3 linked regions of the Astyanax mexicanus genome follow. The protein of the gene in region 1 purifies or fractionates together with the protein of each later gene. This does not show direct contact. Links are inferred from orthologs where the notes say so. Each region holds a gene or a part of one and is shown on either strand. Other genes may lie near its edges.

Region 1 (7,486 bases):
CACACACGGGAAACAGAAAACACCTGGGGCTAAGGGGCGGAGTTACAAATGAACACAGGTGAGGGCAAGAAACACTGAGGAACACGGGTCACGTGGGAGACACACTCAAGGTAAATAAACACAGAAACACCAGACAGGGACCACGTGACAGGTTCTTCATCATGGAAAGACCAAAATTAAGCTCCCTCATTTATTTTTCTGTATATTTGATCTCGTTGTTACTATGACTGAGGAGGTCAATCTCAACACTCATTCCTGTTACCTAAATTAATTTTTAGATATTATTTGTTTATTTTTAAATAACAAATCCTAATGCTCTTGGCATATCCACCATTTTGCTTTTTTTCATATTTTTGCTAATTCAGTGCTAAAAACTTATTCCTGTTACTTTCAGTCCTGTTACTCAAAACATAAAATGTAACAAGAATGAGTGCCAGTAACAGGAGTGAGTTTACGTAACAGGATTGAGTATTGTACCCTGGTTTATTGATTTATTATTGTGAGTATTAATAAACCACTTTTTCCATTTCTGTTTGCTTCATGATTTATCCATTTGTTTAATAATTTGCATGATAATTATTTTAATCAAATTCAGGTTTGGGTCTTCCTAAAAAGATAAAAATTGTTTGCATATTATAATATGCATGCAAATATAGTGATTTTTGTCAGAAATATAATTTATTTGAACATGCAGTCAACCATGTCTTTAATATAAAGACTTTCTTGAGAGAAAATCTAAGGAATTTGTGGACTTTTAAACATGCTTTTTAAATGTCACATGAGTTTTGGTAACAGGACTGAGAAAAATGTAAAGGTTAAACATTATATTTATTTTGGAAAATTTACAACAAGCAACTGGCACCCCTTTGCAGTATTGGGCCCTTAAACAAGACACCTGACCCTCTCTGCTCCAGGCACAACCTTAATATAACACTGTGTGTAATCACTAGTGCATATGCACGTGTGTTCACTAAATGGTTTACCTGTGTGTCTCATCTACTGTATGTGTACAGGTATGGTAAATATGGCTGTCTTGGCTATCAGTTGGATACTCGGATGTATATGTTATTACTGCATTTAAGATTCAAACAAAAAGAGCTCTGTTCCTTTAGGACAGTTTTAGGGAGGGGGCTCTATATTGTTTATTCGTTAATCATAATGACATCAGCATCCCAAAGACTAGAGACTGAGCCTGACTGAAGTCTCAACCTGGGGTGCGTTTCCCGTACAACGACGGAGCCTAGAATTGAACTAACGTGGTACGATGCATCGTTAAACTAACTAACATCTGAAGTACGACCGTTTCCCGAAACCATCGTACTTTGTTGGTACCACAGAAGTCTGAACTATGTTGGTTTGAACCACCGTGGTCTTAACTAAGGTGTTTCCAGATGTGTTCGGCCAGACTTTCCCAGCAGAAAACGTGCAAAACTCACAATCTTTAAAATATTTTGCCAAAAATATGTTACTTATGTTTAGGCTATTTATATTGTAATTATCACCACAACATAATGGACAACAATACTATTAATAAAATTACAATGAACTGCAAGTAAAATTTACACAATAATTGCTATATATTATATAGCTTAATTATTAATTGTAACAGACATTGTTACTTAAAAAAACATACACATATTTGCTATTGCAATATTTTTTTTTATTAAATAATCACCATTCTGAATGAGTCTTATTAAAATGAGACCTGAGAAATGTGTGTTACTCAGTGGTTCAGCAGTGCGCCTACAACCGTGCAGCACTCTGCGTTCTGTCGAATTGTGCAACCCATAGAGATGTGCTTCTTAACACCAGTGCCCATGCGTGGAAACATTTTTTATTTATTTATTGTTTTTTTTATAGTAATTTTTTTTTTGGTGCATTAAACAACCAGAAACCCCTTGACATTATTTCTGAGTATTACAAATAAATGACAGCTAATAATAATGAAAGTAATAATAAGTGAGCAATAATAAAAAAATAAGGGTTATAATCACCCCTAATAACCCTAAACTGTCTCCTGATATTTTGATTCAGGCTGTCCAAATATTCTACCTAAAGCATGTTTAAATATGGGGCTTTTTCTAGCAATTTTATATTTAAAATTTAAATATGCACTAGGGTAGTACGCTTTGACAGGGTAGCAAAACTCGACAGAACATCGGATGGAAGCCTAGTTCGAATCCCAGTCGTGGTTTTATTCTCTTAATGTTTTTTTCATAATGGCAATTAATGTTATTATTTTTTACATATATATTAATGTAGCCTACATATTTCTACTTATTTCCTGTAATATATTATTTAACAAACACTAATTGATAACATTTGTATAGGCCTAGAAACACACACGTTGTACTGGCTAAATGATACGTTTTTTTCTCTGTCTGGCCCTGTTACCTCCAGAGGATAATTAGGTAATTCAAAACACCTGCTTATTGCATGTCTCTATTTATTTTAAGACACTTTTTACTTAGTTTTTTCTTGTTATGAATATATTATTAAAAGACACTTTCTTGTATGGATACATTTGTTTCACTGGGTACAAACAATGCAAATATACCCTCAAAGGTCCTTAGGGTACAGGTGTTTACGTTAAAGTCATTTTAGAGTATTACCCCAGTGACAGTTTAATAGCCTTATTCGGAGAGTGCATAAAGCACAGTGGGTTTAAAAAAAATATTAACTAATTCATAAATATGCACAGCACAAGTTATCTTTACTCAATAGATGCCTGCTTGAATAATTGACATACATCTTTCCAAGACTGTGAAATACATTTTAGCTAAAGAGCACTTCAGTGCACTTTTTTCACTACACTTTTCACTAATAACAACACATTACTGTGAAAACTGGCTCTATGCCGCCATCTAGTGGGATCATTTAGTCAATGCAGCTTAAAAGAAAAAACGTTATGTGAAAGCAAGTTATTTTTCAGTGACTAGAAAATAATAAAAATTAGATAATAACAATAATAATAATAATTAAGTAGTTGATTGTTTAAATGGTTTTGATGTTTAAACATTATGCATTAGTTTTTTTTAATTGTTATTATTGTTGTTTTTATAATGAATATTTAATAATAACATAAATAATGCATATAAAATGCAATAAATAAATAAACTTAAGAATATGCAGCACCTTGTTTAGACTGATTTTTATTTTTTCATGCCATTAATTTTAGTTATTTGTTTGTTTGATTTGCTAATAACAGTAAATTAAAAAGGCTATTTATTTTTTACACATGACACTGATATTAAAATATTCTTATAAATCATATTTTTTATTTACAAATAATTTATGTAAAAGAAATAACAAACAAATAAATACACTTGAGAATATGCGGCGCCTGAATATTATTATTAATGATATTATTATTATTTATATGTATTATTATTATAGCCCTCCAGGTTCTGTATGGGTGTTTTATGTAATGGACTGTACCGCTGCTCTCCGCTGGGAGGCGCTGCGCTTCTCTGTCTGAGTCACGTGTCCGGGCGGCAGCGTGGTTTGACTCCAGCGTTGTTTTTCCCACTCGTCCTCTGACAGGCCCCGCCCCTCCAGAGCTCTGGAACAGAGGACCGCTCACTAACAAATCCCAGCACAGGGGGCTGGTCACTACTAACCAATCCCAGCACAAGAGGGCGGGGCTTGTGGAGTACAGTTAGAAAATAACAAAATAAATATATAAATACATACATAAATACATACATACAGTCAGCATCACCTCCACACAGATCTGCGGAGTTTGTGTGGGCGTTACTCACACCGGCCCATCGTGTGTTCTGTTCCTCTATAATTACAACATGAGCCTAATGACAAAATTACATAATACAATAATAATATATATATAATTATAATAATAACACTATAGCATTGTTGTTGTTGATGACATGATAGAATAGAATACGTATTCTATATAATAGAATGCTTTATTTTATAACTAACATTATTACTACTAGCACTATTACTCCTACTACTGCTACTACTACTACTACTACTACTACTACTACTACTACTAATAATAATAATAATAATTATTAATCAATATTAAATAGATAAATAGTACATAGCAGTATACATACCAGCAATACTACGCATATTATTGATGGCAATGCTAATAACATTACAAACTACCATTATTGTACTATTATAAATGTGTCCAATACACAGTAATGTACATATCAGCACTCTAGCAACAGTAATACATCTGCATTATATCTATTATATTAGTGATATTAATGATAAACATAATATTATTACAATTTTATTACACTATTATTATTATTATTATTATTACTGTGTATAATTGTTTGAATGATGTGATGAGTCATGTTTCGTGTTTGCTGCTGCTCGGTGTGTGTGTGTAGTGTGTGTGTGTGTCCGCTCCGTGCAGTCGCTCCTAATAAAGACGTCACACTCCGACCAGCCCCGAGTGCGCAGCTCCTAAAAACTGGAAGGCAGCTGAGCTCAAGTCTGGGCCGCTGCGGTGCTGCCCGCGCGCTACGGGTGACGCGGGGCTGCGGGCTGGTCCTCGAGGACGCTACAGGGGTCTGGAGCTCGAGCCCTTCAGCGTGTGGAGACCGAAACGCGGGGACACGCGAGTCTGAAGGTATTCCGAAACTGTGTGCACTATGTGTAAATGTGTGCCTGCGTGTGAACGCGCGCGTTCGTGTGTGGTGTGTGTGTGTGCGTGCGTGCGTTTCACAGCAGCAAAATCCCCTGCAACGTGCGTTTATAGCAGCGTTCCGCGTGCGCGCTGCCTCGCATGACGCTAAAACTAGCACGCTACATACACGCCGCGAAGTGGCGCGTGCATGCATGCGTGTGCATATGTATGTGCGTGTTTGTGCTGTAGCAGTAATTAGGTGGCCATCGTACAGAAGAAGTGATATTCTTCGACGCAAGCGGCTCGTGCGTGGTGTTGCCCGTCAACCCGCCACCCCCTCTCTTTTTTCCTCCGCACGCACGATCTCTCGTGCACGCGTGCTTTTGGGTTTTTGGTTCTCTGCAAAAGCAGATCTTTGTTGCTAATTTTCAGGAGGATTCGAGAGGATTTGGGGGCTGTTATGAAAGTGCACTGCGCACTTTTTAGTCGCGAGGAGTAGGAGGGGAAGGAGTCACGCCCACTTCCAGTCTCGAGACGAGAGGTTGCATGTGTTTTTCTCCTGCTACACGCGTGCACGCGCGCTCACACCACCGTCAGACTGCTCACTCACACTGAAGCTCGCTGTTTTCCCCCGTATTCAGCCACCGGATGTGGAATGTTGGTGTTAAATTTAGGTGACTACCCTAATAATGCTGACCGCGCGCGCAAGTGAGTGACTGTTTTTTCCAGGAAGGGCTTTAAAGCCCTTTAAACAGGGCGAGCTGCAGTTCTGTTTTGCTGCGAGCAGGAGGCGCCGGAGCGAGCAGAGCAGGCGCGCGGGAGTAATGCTCCTCAATGACAAAGTTTGAGTCATGTATTTTGTGAGTCTGTGTGTGAAGCTGCTGTGTATGAGATCTTATCACATCTGGAGAAATTCACTCCAGAGCATCATCAGTGTGAATCTACTGCTATCCTCTGTCTTTGAAACATTTTTATGTTCTTATTAGTTCTGTTTTTCAGCATTTTTTTCCAAAATTGACTTCTTATCTATATATTTGTTGACATCTGGCATGATATGTGTTTTGTTTCTGTAGGTTATTTTAATGGGGCATTCACACCTACCTTCCCAGCTGGCATTTCAACGTTGTATAAACGTTGAATCAACGTTGATCAAGGTAGATGTTGTGGTTGAATCAACGTTGAATCAACTGTTGATTTTGAAAAGGAAATCAACGGTAATATAGCAACGTTGTGTCAACGTCATATGTTCAACCACTAATAAACCATAGCTCACTAAAATGAGACAATCGTATGGTTAACAAAGTGTTAACAATAAACTTACATCACTGTAGTAAAGCTGAGTATAAAGAAAGTTACCCACCACTACCAATTTGATTCAACATTTGATCTCAAAAACACTAAAACCGTAAAACTATTAGAACATGAACATGATGTTAATGTAAAAGCAGTTACTGCAAATAGAAGTAAAACACTGTTTCATTCGTCCATCCCACCATTTTTATAAATTATATGGTGATGAAATGTAAAATGCTGATTCAAAAGGCAGAACGTTGAGTACATTATGTTGATTCAACATTAAAATTTCAATAGCGAAAAAGCGTTGTTTAAACGGTGAAACAACAACATACATTACTTTAGTCATATTTCAACCACATTTCAACGTTGAAGTTCGGTTGTGTGCCAGCTGGGTTGATTTCAGTTTGGTCTGGGTCAAAGTAGCAGTTGTGAAAGGGGCCATAAACCATGAGAACATTTGTTTTGTGAACAATGTGTTGTCCCAGAAAAGAGCTGTTCTGTTCTATGACGGATGCTTAGTTTCACTAAGGGTGTTTTCACACCTGTAGTCCGTTTCTCTGGTCCGAATCAATTTTATGTTTTCTCCCTTTAGTTTGGTTTGGTTTCACACAGGCATAAACATAAATGCACCAAAATGCGCACCAATCAACCACGTGAGCACGTTGTGTCCTCTGATTGGAGAAGATTCTGTGCTCCAGCGCGTATATCTGTGAGGTGTGAAGCTGCTTTAATTTAAGGCTTATTACAACACCTGTGAACAAACGCTTTATCATGTAATAATGTAACAAAGACAGAAACCTTGGTGCAGACAGGTCTGGATATTTAGTTGTGAAGGGTTAGATTAAATATTGCTATTTGCTACAATATCACGTAGCAAATATCACGTGTAGGTTATTTTAAACCTGTGTTTTAAAGCCTAGGATTGCAGGTTAGCCACAGTGCTAAAAGCTGTGATTCAAACAAACACAGCAGCTGGTCTCGGCAGTGTTGTTGTTTCAACAAATTGCCAGCTGTCACCTTTGTTTGCAGTGCTGTCGTAAACAAAAACACAGATTTCTACAGACTGGAACTGAATCGCCTGTAATCCAGATTCTTCTTGAGACCTGCCTTTGCTGTGGAGTGACCCACTGCCACAACTGCTGGTGTGATGACCTAGGGAGCCATCAAATGCAATAGTTGGTCACCCCTAGTAGTGATATGAGGGACTCTTACAGCTCAGCTGTAAGGATATCCTGTAGCCACATGTGTTTCTTCTCATGGCAGGGTATTTTTCTGGCATTTTTCAGCAGGATAATGCTCACCCTCACACAGCACAGCTTTTACAGGAATGTCTCCACAAGATTGCATCCTTGGTCTGCCCGGTCCCCAGATTTATCACATCCAGCTACAACATATGTGGGCAAAAGTGCTACATGATGCCAAATGATTTTCAACTTGTATTCAAAGTGGCGACCCAACAGGGTACTACAGCCTTTTTTTTAAGATTTTTGAGTCGTTCTCAATAAACATATTCTTTTACTATAATATTGTAATCACTTACATAGATCATCATTATATTATCACAACTAAACTTTTTATTTGTGCAGA
Region 2 (7,294 bases), on another chromosome or scaffold:
CACCAAATTAATGCCCTTTAATAGGCATTAAACAGTTTTAAATAATTATATAAATGTGTAAAATAGCTATTTTATCCAACCTGAAAGTGGTAGTAAGACTTTGACATCCAGGCCCGTGGAAACAGACCCCTCGCCATAGCAGAAATGGGTCATTTCAGGGACTGTGGAGCTGGAAACAGGTATATAAAGAAGGAAAAAGGAGATATTAGATATAAATGATGATTAAACCAGTGTGCAAGGCATATACATTGATTTTGAGCAGGTTCAAGCGTTGCTGTTTTTGGAATTTTCCGTTCCACCTTAAATGGAGCGGCTGCTACATTCAGGCGCACGCAGGTTGCCTGCGTGCGCCTGAATGTAGCAGCCGCTCCATTTAAGGTGGAACGGAAAATTCCAAAAACAGCCACATTGCATGGTTTATCTCCTTCGCTGCATACTCACCACTAATCCACGACACAGATACACCTTTCCCTTAATCCATCCTATCGTTCAAATGCTGATTTCTGCATATATATCCTTAATCTAATCCAAAAATCTATATTTTTATATATATTCATGTCACTTTCAGTCACTACAGTCCCATAACCACACCGTCAGTTCACTGCTGCTATATCCAATGAAATCTCTTAAAGGTGCAGAACGCACTTTTGTGTGGGCCGACATATAATATATAAAAAATATAATATAATATAATATAATATAATATAATAATAATAATAATGAACGTATAAAAGTACATAATGGTTTCTGCTGCCCTCTAATGACCGTACACGCGAATAAAACTGTAGTCAAAACGATTAAAAACTCAATTTAGTGTGAATACAACAAATTAAATATATATATATAATATAATAATATGTAAAATATGTAAAATAATAAATAAATGAATGTATTAAAAAATGTAATTGTACAATACAATAATGTAATATACAATAATATAGTATTTTTAAAAAACTAAAATTATTTATATTATATTATTGTACAAAAAAAATGTCATGGCTTTTAAAAGAACACGTTTACGTGATTACTTAAATAATAAACAAGACAATACTCATAATTATAAATTATTAGACTTATTTCTATAATACAATTTAAGCTTTGTCCTAATTTTAAAATATTTAAATGTTTAATAAAAAAATGTAAAATTTTTAGCCTCTAAAAACATTAATTTGTCCAAAAAAGTATGGAGAAATTAAATTTCCCCAAAGCTAAAATATATATGTTAAATGAATGAACTTCTGTTGAATTGTTTTATATCAACTTTCAAGCTACAAGTTACAAGTTAATTATTTGTTGCAAAAGTATTTATATGTTTAATATATATATATATATATATATATATATATATATATATATATATATATATATATATATATATAAACTCAATGTAGTATGACTACAGCCAATTAACTGATTTAAACGTAAATGTTATTTTTTAAAACAAAAAATAATAGTATTATTGTAAAAAAAAAAACATTGGTTTAGCTTTAAAAAACATTATATTTTAAAAAAAATATTAATAGTTGTATGAAGTTGCCTTTTATTTTATTAAATCCAATGTACACAACACAACAAAATTAAACAAAAAGTAAAATAATATTAAACTACAAATCCCAGAGAGATGTCACAGCGTGACAGCTTTTGTAGTCTTTTTTGTCATTTTTATTTTTATATATGTTTAATCTAATCTTTGTGTCTAAATTAGTACTTTATTACTTATTAAGAACCTCTAATGAACTGTATATATCGTGGAAAACTTTGCCGTACTTTTATTTCAGAATTTTAATTATAATTATTTGTTGCAAAACCGTTTATATATTTTAAATATATATATATATATATATATATATATATATATATATATATATATATATATATATATATATATATATATATATATATATACTGGCTCTTTGTGGCTGTTTATTAGCCTCTAAAAAAACATTAATATAAAAAGAATCACATAATTAATTTTCTTTTTTTTCTATTCTACATTTTCACAACGCAAATCCTAAAAAAAAAAGTCAAATGCAATTAAACTACAAGTCCCAGAGGGCAGTGGAGCCGCCGCTACGTGAAGCGCACGGCAGTGACGTCAACATGCGACAGCTTTTGTAGTCCGTTTCAGGTAAACATTCGTAGAAACTGCATTTCTGTGTTTTTTATTGTTAGATGTTCGTTCAGAACGAATTTCCGTAAATGGCGTATTTCCTCTGGATCGTTTTTTCTATTTTATACTAGATTTGTATTTTAATCTTCAGTAAAATTAAGCGTAAATTAATATTAAATAGAAAAAGTAAGGCATTAAATCAAATAATATCATATAAAAAATATTATATCATTGTCTAACTAGACGCATTCAAGCTTCAACATTCAAGAATGAACATAAATGAGAATTAACAAATTAAAGTAACCCGTTAGATTAAATTGTTATATGGTTGTATATATTTTAATCTTCAATTAGTAAAAGCTCCGCCCACAAAAATAAACTAGTAAATACAGATTTAAAAAATAGGAGAGACATGCAAGAGGCCAATTAACATAACAATACATCTTTAAAATTTAAGTACAATATTAAATGATTGTAAATTGTATATGATTCTATTATTCTATAATATTATATACATATGAATCTATAATATTATATATTATAAATGTAATTACTGTATATATGTTCTAATCAGTTATTCAAAAAGCAGCTAGTCTCACACAATTCACTGCAACTTGAAACATTAAATAATAAACATGAATGCAGTTTACTGAAACTGCTTAAAAAACGTGTGTGTAAATAAATAAATAAATAAATAAATAAATAAATAAAACACCTCTTTCAAATTCAAATTTTGTGAGGGAAGAGAATGGGCGGACTGAGCGGGTTTACTGGGAGAGCGCCCACTGCCCGCTCAGCCTGTAATACCAGTACCCACCGCCCACCGCCAGAGGGAGCCCGAGAGAGAGAGCGCAATGAATGGGGTAAATGGAGCTAATCTGCTAAAACCCTAATTAAAAAATACCACTGTAACTATCTATTTATATCTCTCTCTCTCTCTCTCTTTACCTCTATCTCTCGTTCTCTAGCTGTGTTCGTTTCTCTGTCTGTCTCTTTCTCCCTTTCTACCTGTCTGTCTGTCTCTCTTTGTCTCTCTCTCTTTCTCTATATAGATGTCTGTCTGTCTCTTTCTCTAGTTATCTGTTTCTTTTTCCAGCAGATTGTCTGTCTATCTCTCTCTATCCCTCTCTGGCTGTCTTTCTGTTTCTGTCTGTTTCTCTATCTTTCTGTATGTCTGTCTCTTTCTCTCACTCTCTAGCTGTCGGTTTGTCTCTCTATGTCTGTCTGTTTCTCTTTCTTTCTAGCTGTCTGTCTCTCTTTCTAGTTGTCTGTCTCTCTAACTTTTGTTTCTAGCTGTTTTTCTCTCTCTCTTGCTGTGTCTGTCTGTTTCTTCTTTCTTTCTAGCTGTCTGTATCTCTCTTTCTTTCTAACTGTCTGTCTCTTTCTAGCTGCCTGTCTGTCTCTTTCTTTCTAACTGTCTGCCTCTCTCTTTCTTTCTAGTTGTTTGCCTCTATCTCTACCTGTCTGTGTGTTTCTCTCTCTCTCTTTCTAGCTGTCTGCCTTGCTTTCTTTCTAACTGTCTTCCTGTCTTTACCTGTCTTTGTGTTTCTCTCTCTCTCTATCTAGCTGTCTGTGTTTCCCTCTCTCTTTCTAGCTGTCTGCCTTTCTCTCTCTCTACCTGTCTTTGTGTTTCTCTCTGTATTTACCTGTCTTTTTGTTTCTCTCTTTCTACCTGTCTGTGTTTCTCTCTCTCTCTTTCTAGCTATCTGCCTCTCTCTCTCTACCTGTCTTTGTGTTTCTCTCTCTCTCTCTACCTGTCTTTGTGTTTCTCTCTCTCTCTCTACCTGTCTTTGTGTTTCTTTCTCTCTCTCTACCTGTCTTTGTGTTTCTTTCTCTCTCTAGCTGTCTGTGTTTCTCTCTCTCTCTACCTGTCTTTGTGTTTCTCTCTCTCTCTCTACCTGTCTTTGTGTTTCTTTCTCTTTTACTAGCTGTCTGTGTTTCTCTTTTTTTCTAGCTGTCTGCCTCGCTCTTTCTTTGGCAGACATTATTTTTTTTCTCTTTTACTAGCTGTCTGTCTCTTTCTTTCTAGCTATCTGTCTCTCTCTCTGCCTGTCTGCCTCTATCTGAACCCGGTAATATTGGGCTCTGGCTCGGCAGCGCCCCCTGGTGTGCGGTAAAGGCGGTGGCGGCGGTAGTGGGAGGTCTCGGCGGCTCAGGCTCTGTGGTAAAGCAGCTCCGCTCAGCGGGAATCCAACATGGCGAGCGCGGCGCTGCGGGGAGATCAGTCCGCCGCTCTCTGTTAGAAACCGGGGGAAATGCGGGGATAGCTGCGGGCCGCGCGCTCCGTGCTGAAGCCGAGCTTCGTGTTTTTCTGTGTGAGGTGCAGTTTAACCGCGGGAAGGGCCCGAATGAGGTGAGACAGCTGATAAACCCGCTATAAAACTGAACAATACACCAACAACAATAACTACTGCTCCCCCTGCTAACTAAAACACTGCTAATCCGCTTCACACTGCAACAATCCGGATTAAAATCCGCTTTCACACCGACACAGAACCGGAGCAGGCTTTTATACCGCTTCTCTTTATTACCGGCGATCCGAATTCAGCAAATATTCACCTTTATTATACCTTTACTCTTCAGATAATTAACAGTTACTGTAGGAGTGATTTACCTGATGCAGGGAGTAGCTTCTCTCCTATTAAACAACACTGTGCAAATACCCATCCTGTTTCAGAAGAGTCCAATTATCTATCTATCTATCTATCTATCTATCTATCTATCTATCTATCTATCTATCTATCTATCTATCTATCTATCTACTTAGTTATCTGTCTATCTGCATGAGTGTCTCTCTCTCTTAATAACTGTCTGTCTCTAGCTACACATTTTTATATCGTCTTAGAAGCTTATAGGTGTTTATAGTTCTATCTATCTATCTATCAAGATGTCTGTCTCTCTTTTTTTTATTGAACACATGTTAACATTCACAGTAAGGGGGGGGAGTATGTGAATGTTAACATGTTGTGTTCAGTAAAAACATGCAAATATAATTATGTGTGTGGTATTAGTTTAAGCAAACTGTGTTTGTCTATTGTTGTGATTTCTGGGCACATAACGTTGCTGAACCTAGACCTGAAGTATTGGTTTGAAATATTGATGAAATTAGCTGTAAAAATCAGGGATAATGGGTTTAGAAACACAAAAAGGTGGTTCTAATGTTATGATTGGTTGTTGTATTTTTTTAATTGTATGTTTTTTTCTTTGGCCTGCAGCTCTGCTGTACACACTTTCACCGAAACATCGTTTTCTGTTTTCTTCTTGTTTTAAAACAGAGACTCAACGGTGGCACACAGTCTGGGCTCCCATCAGAAATCTCCTTCCCAGCGCCGAGACCCGTCCCCGCCGTCGCTGTCCAGACTCTCTCTCGGAGATGGGCAGAGCGACGCCGACAGACTCGCCAGCAAGTTCGAGGAGGGGCAGGACGTTTTAGCTCGGTGGTCCGATGGCCTGTTTTACCTGGCGACAATCGCAAAGGTGAGCACAGATTAGGGGCGGGACCGAGCATCTGTATTGTGATTAGTGCAGGACTGTATGACCAAAATGTACAGTATATTTCGCACTATAAGGGTGCACCAGATTATAAGGCCCACTTTCAATAAACAACTATTTTCTAGCGGTTAACGGCTAAAGCCACACGATAACGCTACACTGAGGAACCCTGAGTGTTCCAGTAGTCCAGGGTGATATTAGGCAGCGGTTCGTGCTACGTAGCTTGTTTTAACACAGTCAGCATGCAGACCAAAGTCCAATAATACTCACCTCTGAGCAGGGAAAGAGCTAGCACTTAGCTTAGTAACGCTAATGCTGCTCCAGCAGTGCTAGCTAGGATTAGCAGCAGGCTACAGGCCGGTAATACTCACCTCTGAATGGGAAAATAGCTGTTAGCAGCTAATGCTAATGCTACTTTAGCCCTGGTACTGGAGAACAAAACTGAAACTCCTTCATAACTCTGTACTTCAGTGTTCATAGTGGCTTTATTGCTCATTAATACCTGACTGATATAATTTATACATAAGGAGCACCGGATTATAAGAAGCACTGATGATTTTGGGGAGAATTAAAGGATTTTAAGTGTACCTTATAGGGCGAATGATTATTATTATTTATTTATAGTTTTTTGCATGACTGGGCTTAAATAACTTTACTATATTTTATTCTGTGTTTTACAAAGTTGTTTTTCTTTTTCTTTTACACAGATAGACAAACAGAAGCATCGCTGTTTCGTGGTTTTTGAAGATCAGTCCAAATCGTGGGTTCTTTGGAAGGATATTCAAACAGGTAATACATTCACCTTTTCCCTGTGATCTACCTGCATCATTCAGTTTCAATATATATATATATATATATATACAGCTCTGGTAAAAATGAGGAGAGCACTTCTTCAGTTTCTGAATCAGTTTCTCTGGTTTTGCTATTTATAGGTTTATGTTTGAGTAAAATGAACAGTGTTGTTTTATTCTATAAACTACAGACAACATTTCTCCCAAATTACAAATAAAAATATTGTTATTTAGAGCATTTATTTACAGAAAATGAGAAATGGCTGAAATAACAAAAATGCAGAGATGCAGAGATTTCAGACCTCAAATAATGCAAAGAAAACAATTTTATATTTAGATTAAACTTACCATTTTACTGGTGCTGCTGTGTTTCAGGGGACAGTGGAGAGGAGATGCTTTGCACCATTTGCCAGAATGAAACCTCAGAACCGCCCAATGAAATGGTCATCTGTGACAAGTGTGGACAAGGTAATGTAGAGTTAAAACTCTACACTGTCTGTTTACACTTCTTTGCACCTTTTACTCAGACTATATTATACTTACATTTAAGCTATCTTTTGTCTTTATATATATATATATATATATATATATATAAGCAAAAGTATTGGCACAGACCCTTGTTGTATTGTAAATATAGTGTCTCCCGTTCTTTTATATTTACGGATGAGGATGAGAGTAACGTAATTTCAATTCTCTGTATGTCCTGTACATATGCAGTACTGACAATAAAAACTACTTGACTCGACTTATCTGATCACTAATTGCAGGTGTATAGGCCATAAGGTGGTCAAAAAGAGCTTAAAAAAATGATTTTGTTTCCTTCGTTTGGAAAACAGTTGAGTGTAAAAATTCAAAGTTGTGGCGCCGAGTGGTCCAGCAGTCTAAAGCGCTGCCACTATGA
Region 3 (7,398 bases), on another chromosome or scaffold:
TTTAAACAGGAGAACTACAGTAATATTATAATATTTTAATACAAATCAATAAAATGATTTTAGAGAACTTAAACCTGAAAACTTAAAAATGCTTATTGAACCACTTTTGAACTTTTAGTATATTAAACGTTTCAATGCTCTTTTTTACAGTGTTGTTTTATACAGCCTTCCCATAGGCTCCTGGCTCCTCCATATATTTGCATATTGGGTGTGGCCTTTTCCTTACTTACCATCTTTGTGTTGTCTGTTGCTCAAAGCTGCCTTATCCTAGTTGTGCATTAGTAATGCAGTAAAGTAAGTGTTGATTGCCAGGCCTCGGTGTTTTAGGCTGTATAATAGTTTATTTATCTACATTTTTTAAGCCCAAAATACTTGAAGAAAAAAACAGTTGAGTTTACAGAACTGTTGTTGTGTGAATGAAACTTAAGTTAAGTTAAATAAACTTAAAATTGTATATATTTACAACTTAACTGAGTCAAAGCTAAATGACTAAATGAATAACTTGACTAAGTTAAGTTGAGCCAATGAATATTTTTTTACAGTGCAGCATTTGACTCAATAATGCACAAAAAAAAAATAATATTACAGCTTGGTTTGGCTCCTGCGCTTTCGCAGATCTCCACAAAGCGGACTTTATCTGTAAACAGGCACTGATTGGATCGTTCCAAGAACTCCTACTCACATTGTCTCTATAACATAAAGCCTCCAGCATTGAATTGTGGAGCAGAGGACTTTTAATTAACAGTTTTCTCTAATATGTTGGTTTTCCATTCAACACTTCTTTCAACGTGTTAGTTGTACAATACCTGTGTTGAATTTTTCCTCATATTAGTCTGTGACTCACTCTGGCCTAGTTTTTTCAATGCAATTTAAATTAAATAATGCAAAATGTGCCATAAAGAGAAACAAAGACCCAAGACCCCCTTTATTTGGTGAAAAGTAGGACTTGTTTCCAGAAAAATGCCTGAAAAATACTTTGTAATAAAGAGAGGTGTACTAAGTATTGTTTTATTTTTACTTAAAGATCTCCTTCTGCTAAAATCCACTTTTTCTTGTTCTTGTTTGTGAAATACTTTAGGTCTCTCTGAGTTGTTTATGATGCTGCATATGAAACATATGTTTCTCAGGCTCCCTTGTCTGCAGTAGCTAAGAAAAATAAAATCCTTAAGAATATAGAAAAAATATAATTATTAATAAAAAAAAAATAAAATAAGATTTTAGTTACTTTCATATATGAAACACTCCTCTAACGTGACTTCTGTTCATTTGTAGTTTACAGTAACACTACAGAAAGACCACAAATTAACTTTGTACATATATTAAAAGGTATGTTTCTGTATAGTGTTATAAATTCGTGCTCCATGTGCCCCCTTTTGACTTTCAGCACCTGCCCCTCCAAAGGTCTCTGCACGGCCCTGCGTATCAATGTTTCGTTCACATTACACACAGAAACAGATCACTTACATTTGTAAATGTGAACCAACAAGATAGATAAATCCAATCTGAGCAAAAAAATCAGTTTTGAGCAGAGGTGGAAAGTAACTAATTAGATTTACTCACATTACTGTAATTGAGTAGATTTTATGAGTAATTTGTAATTTTTTGTTATAGTTTTGAAAATAGGTAATTTTACTTTTACTCAAGTACATTTTGACACAAGTAATTTATTTTGCTACATTGGAAAATTCCCCATTACTGAGTAAATAATAAAAAGCTGGGAAAAAAACAAATCGTCTGAATTAAAAAAAAATTTTTTAAAGAGTTTTGTTCTCCATGGTAGCGCAGCTAAACGTCTCCATGCAGTGTTTATTTTGGTTAGCGGGAGAGATGCTGTGTAAATCAGCTGGGGTCTGTGTGCGTGACTCGGGGGAACCGGTGTTCTGTCGAGTTATGCTACCCATCCATATGTGCTTCTTTACGGCACTGCGCATGCACCGACCAAAGTTTTTCATAATAATTCCTTATGTTTTTATTAGAACCATTAAAAATTCTGCTTGGATGTTAAAAAAAAACGTGTAAAATAGCAGTTAAAGCATATGAATGGCAAGTTAAAAAATAATAATTACCTGTACAACTATAAAAATACAGTTTATAGTCACCTATATGACCATAACCTTTTAACTTTTTAACAGTAAAAAAAATGGATCATAGAAACCTGTGCCACTTGTTCTTGAATATGTTTTATGGGATGGTCTAAACAAATACTGCCCAAATTATTTCATTTAATAATTATTTAATTTATGATTTGTACTTTTTTACATCAAATAAATAAAAGTAACTATGTAACTTTTACTCAAAGTAAATTTTAAATTGAGTACTTTTTTACTTTTACTCAAGTAGATTTTTAGATGGGTACTTTTACTTTTACTTGAGTACAATTTTAGCAAAGTAAAGGTACTTTTACTTAATTACAATTATTCAGTACTTTTCCACCTCTGGTTTTGAGCAATGTGGCTTGTAATGTGAACTTTGCTGCAGTTGTGAGCCAGCATGAAGTTACACTTCATAGTGAGAAAATCAATTATTTTGTGTAATATTTACAATATAACCCATCAATCTTCTTTTTTACAGTGTGTAAAGCAGAATAATAATGTGGAAAGTTGATAAATATTCAAGAGAAAGGAAAAGGTGAATCCTGACACACGCTGCAGCTTATGGCCACGAAGACTTAACAACTAGACCTGCTATTTTTCACGTCCACTTTGGCCTATTGCCTGATGTTGCTGAGTAAACAAGAAAATGACCACAAATGACTAAATGGGATTGGTCAGTGTGACCTGGCAGAAAGGGCAGACTGGTTCTGCCCTCATTCTCAGTAATGTCACCCAAATGTCTCCCAGCAGGGGAAGGATTTGAGTTTATTGCTCAGTAATGACGGATTCTGCAGATACCCTACAAACTCAACACATGATCGAGCTGCACTGAAAGCTGTAAAATGTGTTATAATGAGTTAATAACATAGATATAAGTCACTGAAAAAGTTAACAGCTGTGTCTTTTTATTTAAAGTCTAATAAAAATGTATTATTTCCACACTGAAAAACATGAAAAACACATGTTGACACAACTCAGTTAAGGCGTCATCTTGCTTTTTCTCAGTTAAGTTAGATAGTCACTCGTTATTTTACACATTGTGGGCTTTAAAGAACTTACATACAATATTTATATGTATGTATATGTAGCTAAACTCTGTTCTTTTAAAGTAATAAAATATATAATTTATTTTATTTTATTTCTTAACCTTTAAAAATACTTTTAATGACTTTTATTGTGTTAATTTTCGCCTCTGTAGCGCCCTCTCAGGTTTAACTGTGCTATAGGTGAGGATGATGTTTCCGTGTACTTTGGTATGCAGACGCATCACAATGATTTGCAAATTAGTCGATTAATAATAATCAATAATACCAATACTTTAAAATGACCTGAAATAAACTCTTTTTACATTGATTTCCATTGAAAGTTTTGAAGGATTTTTCTCTCTTTTGTAAAGTTGCTGTTTTGAAAATACTTGTTTTTCATTGGACAGCGACGATATTTATGCTAAATAAAACAGTTTGTCTATTTTGTAGACAGTAACTTACCAATACATTGATTTTGTATAAAAACAGCAAACGAAAATAAAGTTATTTAACAACAAACATCCTACACCAAAATTAAAAGTGCAGGATATTTTTGAGCTTGTATTAGCTAGTAATTCTGTTCAAATGTGAAATTAAAATATTGTATTCATGTATTACACATAGAGTTTTCTGTTTTAAGTGTTTATTATATCTTTTATTGTTGCTTATTATTATTAAGCTTATTATAAAGCTTTTGACAGAGTGGGCAGTGTGCCAAGTCCTGCTGGAAAATGAAGTCCGCATCTCCATAAAAGTTCTCAGCAGATGGAAGCATGATGCTCTTCAAAAAAAAAGCAGTGTGTAAGACTGGTGGAGGAGAACATGATGCCAAGATGCATTAAAAAAAAGTCAGGGTTATTCCACTAAGTATTGATTTCTGAACAAAATTAATAATAATGAATAATATATAAAAAATATATTTTTTATTTTTTTATTTTTATTTTTTGGAATTTGGGAGAAACCTATAAATAGCAAAATCAGAGAAACTGATTCAGAAACTGAAGTGCTCTCTTGATTTTTCGCAGAGCTGCATATTTATATATATATATATATATATATATATATATATATATATATATATATATATATATATATATGTGTATAAATATATACTGTAGTATGTGGAAGGGGAGGGGCTGCTGCTGCTGCTGATGGTGCTGAGCTTGAAACCTAAATGATTCGCGGGAAAAGGTGAAAAAATGGCGACTTGCAGAGGCTCGGTTTAAGCGGAGCAGAGCAGCTCAGGACTGAAAAACTCACTTTATTCCGCGAATGGAAGCGCTTACAGCGGGCTAAACACTCCGGGAACAACTTCCACCCTCCTGAGGAGAGGAGAAATCAGCACGGTAATGAAGGAAAAGAGCGAGAAACTCGTTTATTTACTCTAAACACACACTGTTTAATAACTTACAGCCTGATAACTTACTGTAACTGTTACACTAACTCACTACTGTATTCAACGCTGTTTATCCTAACTTTTATACTTTAGATAAACCCATACCTGTGTCTTTAGTGTAGTTAGAGGCGCGTTTTCTCTTTTATTAATGTTTAAAATGAGTGTTAGCGCGTTTTCCAGCGTTATTATTCAGTTATTCACAGCTAAAGGTAGATTTGAACCAGGGAGGGAAAATCAGTTTAGCTGCTTTAGCTCTAAATATCGTTTTTACGGGAAATACACACTTATCTAAGCGTTTTTGAGCTTTATTAGCTCGCTAAGTTTATTTTTTAGTGTGTTTTTAGTATGTCAGTTAGTTAGAAAGTGCAAGCTGGAGTTTATTAAGTTAGTAGATTTGTCAGTGGTCCTGAAAGTGAAAATCCGCTCCGGGATTTCGTTCCAACTGCCGGGGCAGCGCCGCTCCAGTTCCAGTTGGAACGAAATCCCGGAGCGGATTTTCACTTTCAGGACCCGGATGACTCCTTAACCTCTATTTATCACTATTCATAAAAAATACATCTCTGGAAAAAATAAAGAGAATCTTCAATTTCTGTATTAGTTTCTCTAATTTTGCTTTTTATAGATATATATTTGACTAAAACGATCATTGTTGTTTTATTCTATAAACTAAAAACAATATTTCTCCCAAATTCCAAATATATTCCAAAAATATCATATCATTTAGAGCATTTATTTGCAGAAAATGAGAAATGGCTGAAATAACAAAAAAGATGTTCATAGAAGTTCATATTGATAAGAATTTTATTTTTAAAAAATAACCCTGTTTTTTAATCACAGTTTTTTTTCATGAATCTTGGCATCACGTTTTCCTCCACCAGTCTTACACACTGATTTTGGATAACTGTATGCTTTACACTCCTGGTGCAAAGATTCAAGCAGGGAGTGTGATTGCAGTTCAACAGTTGGTTCAAAGGGTGGTTCTGTGGTATTATCAATGGTCAGAAACGTTTGGATAAATGTTGGAATGTAAATACATGTGAGTAGCAGAGCTGTGTCCAGAAACGTTTGACTGAATGATGTAGATGCATACAGATACAGTTGGGTAATAGAGCTGTGTGTAAAACGTTTGGGTAAATGTTGGAATGCATGTATAAGTGGGGAATAAAAACGTTTGGATAAATGTTAGAGTCCAAAAACATTTGCAGAAATGTTGGAATGCAAACAGAGTTGTGTCCAGAAACATTTGGTTAAATGGGGAAATGCAAATACATATCGGTTTGAGTCCCAAACATTTGGCTAAATGTTGGAATGCTAAAACATTTAGACAGTTTAGCTGTTTTAACAAATCTTTGGCTATTTCTTAAGGTTTGAAAATTAGGCTAAATGTTGAAATGCAAATGCATTCGGCTAATAGACCTGTGTCCAAAATGTTTGGAAAAATGTTGGAATAATATCTGGGGTTAGCAGAGGGCTACAGGTCGATATACTTCGAAAAGAGCTAGTGTTTAGCGTGTTTAGCCGCTAATGCTAATACTGCTGGAGAACTAAACTGAAACTCCTGTATAACGCTGCATTTTCCTGCTACTTAATAGCTTACTAGTATTTAATAATATATGTAGATTTTTATTTTTTTATTGGTTCATAAAGTATAAAGCTATACTGTTATTTCTTTGATTGTGCAGATTTTATTATAATATATAATTAGTTTTGGTTTAGAGACAAAGTTTACAGACAAATGTCAATGCATTCCTATTGGAGTGCTTTGTTTGGTGTGCTTACTGTATGATTACTGTCATATAATACATATATAATATATAAGAATAATAGTAAGAATAATTAAACTGGGGTTGGTGTGGTACAGTGGATAACACCACTGCCCACCAGTGAGCTACCATGTGGGAGATTGGGGTTCAATTCCAGGTCTGGGTGACTGAATGCTGCGCTACGCCAATAATAATAATATATTAGTCCTTGGGCTAGACTCCTAACACTACGTTGGCCAAACTCTATAATAGGAAAACCACTTTAAAAAAGAGTGTCAGCTACATACCATAAATGTACATGTAATAGTAATGCTATAGTAAAGTGTATAACTGCATAAGGACATTAGTGTGATTGTCCACTGTTCCACCAAGAGTTAACGTTAGCCGACGTCGTTACTACTCTGCGTCTTCGCTGCTTTTGGTTTCACTCATTTCTTGGCGGATTCTGAGTCATCCAACAGTCCCTGCAGCTCCACAGAGCAGGTACTTTTTCTTTCAGCCCTTTCTTTACTTGCAAAGTGAATCAAAACTGACAGAGTGGACCGTTTGTGGCTGAATTTACATTTGTGGTTTAGAGAACAGCACTTCCTTTTGGTACCCCGTTTATATGTAGGCCTGATGGGTTAGCTAACAAAAGTTGCAGAGTAGGTAAATCTGATGCTTCAGCTCATATATGCACCTCAGAAACTTCTGCAGAAACATCTCTGCTGACATAAAACAGCTGATGTATTTGTGTTAGAGAAGATAAATGTGCTGTATCAGCAGAATTCTGATTAAATCTGAATAAATGTGAATGATGCTGACCCCCTGGACCAGAGCTGTAGTCTAATGTTCTGCCGGTTCTGTCTCCTCAGGGACTGTAGGCGTGTGAGGTAAGTATGTTGGAGGGAGCCTACCGGGACAGCTACCTGGCTGTGGGTCCGGACGAGCTAGACGCCAAACGGCTGCTGCCCAAACTTGAGACAGTTTGCAGTGATCTCGAGAGCAAGCTCACCGTCGGGCAGTACGTCCTCTGCCGTTGGTCTGACGGCCTCTATTACCTGGGGAGGATTCAGAGGGTGAGTCATGAGACTTTTTAATTTTTATTAAGGAGGAGACCAATCGTTGCATCAGTTCTAGGA

Evidence for each region.
Region 2: the proteins of ezh1 (region 1) and mtf2 purify together in Homo sapiens (affinity purification with mass spectrometry; 3 studies listed by BioGRID and IntAct, with this or other methods). This does not show direct contact. The link is inferred for Astyanax mexicanus from reciprocal best matches to the Homo sapiens genes EZH1 and MTF2.
Region 3: the proteins of ezh1 (region 1) and phf19 purify together in Homo sapiens (affinity purification with mass spectrometry; 4 studies listed by BioGRID and IntAct, counting the BioPlex papers as one, with this or other methods). This does not show direct contact. The link is inferred for Astyanax mexicanus from reciprocal best matches to the Homo sapiens genes EZH1 and PHF19.

Annotation. Positions count from the first base shown.
Region 1 is NC_064426.1:22,692,800-22,700,285, forward strand, and holds the start of ezh1 (histone-lysine N-methyltransferase EZH1), read left to right. Parts: upstream 1-4,420; 5' UTR 4,421-4,606; intron 4,607-7,486.
Region 2 is NC_064411.1:55,195,479-55,202,772, forward strand, and holds the start of mtf2 (metal-response element-binding transcription factor 2), read left to right. Parts: upstream 1-4,294; 5' UTR 4,295-4,458; coding exon 4,459-4,463; intron 4,464-5,385; coding exon 5,386-5,587; intron 5,588-6,309; coding exon 6,310-6,391; intron 6,392-6,768; coding exon 6,769-6,861; intron 6,862-7,294. Other genes in the region: dipk1aa (divergent protein kinase domain 1A), read right to left, coding at 81-137. UniProt on the Homo sapiens protein: Polycomb group (PcG) protein that specifically binds histone H3 trimethylated at 'Lys-36' (H3K36me3) and recruits the PRC2 complex, thus enhancing PRC2 H3K27me3 methylation activity.
Region 3 is NC_064419.1:1,743,844-1,751,241, reverse strand, and holds the start of phf19 (PHD finger protein 19), read left to right. Parts: upstream 1-4,309; 5' UTR 4,310-4,464; intron 4,465-7,131; 5' UTR 7,132-7,155; coding exon 7,156-7,335; intron 7,336-7,398.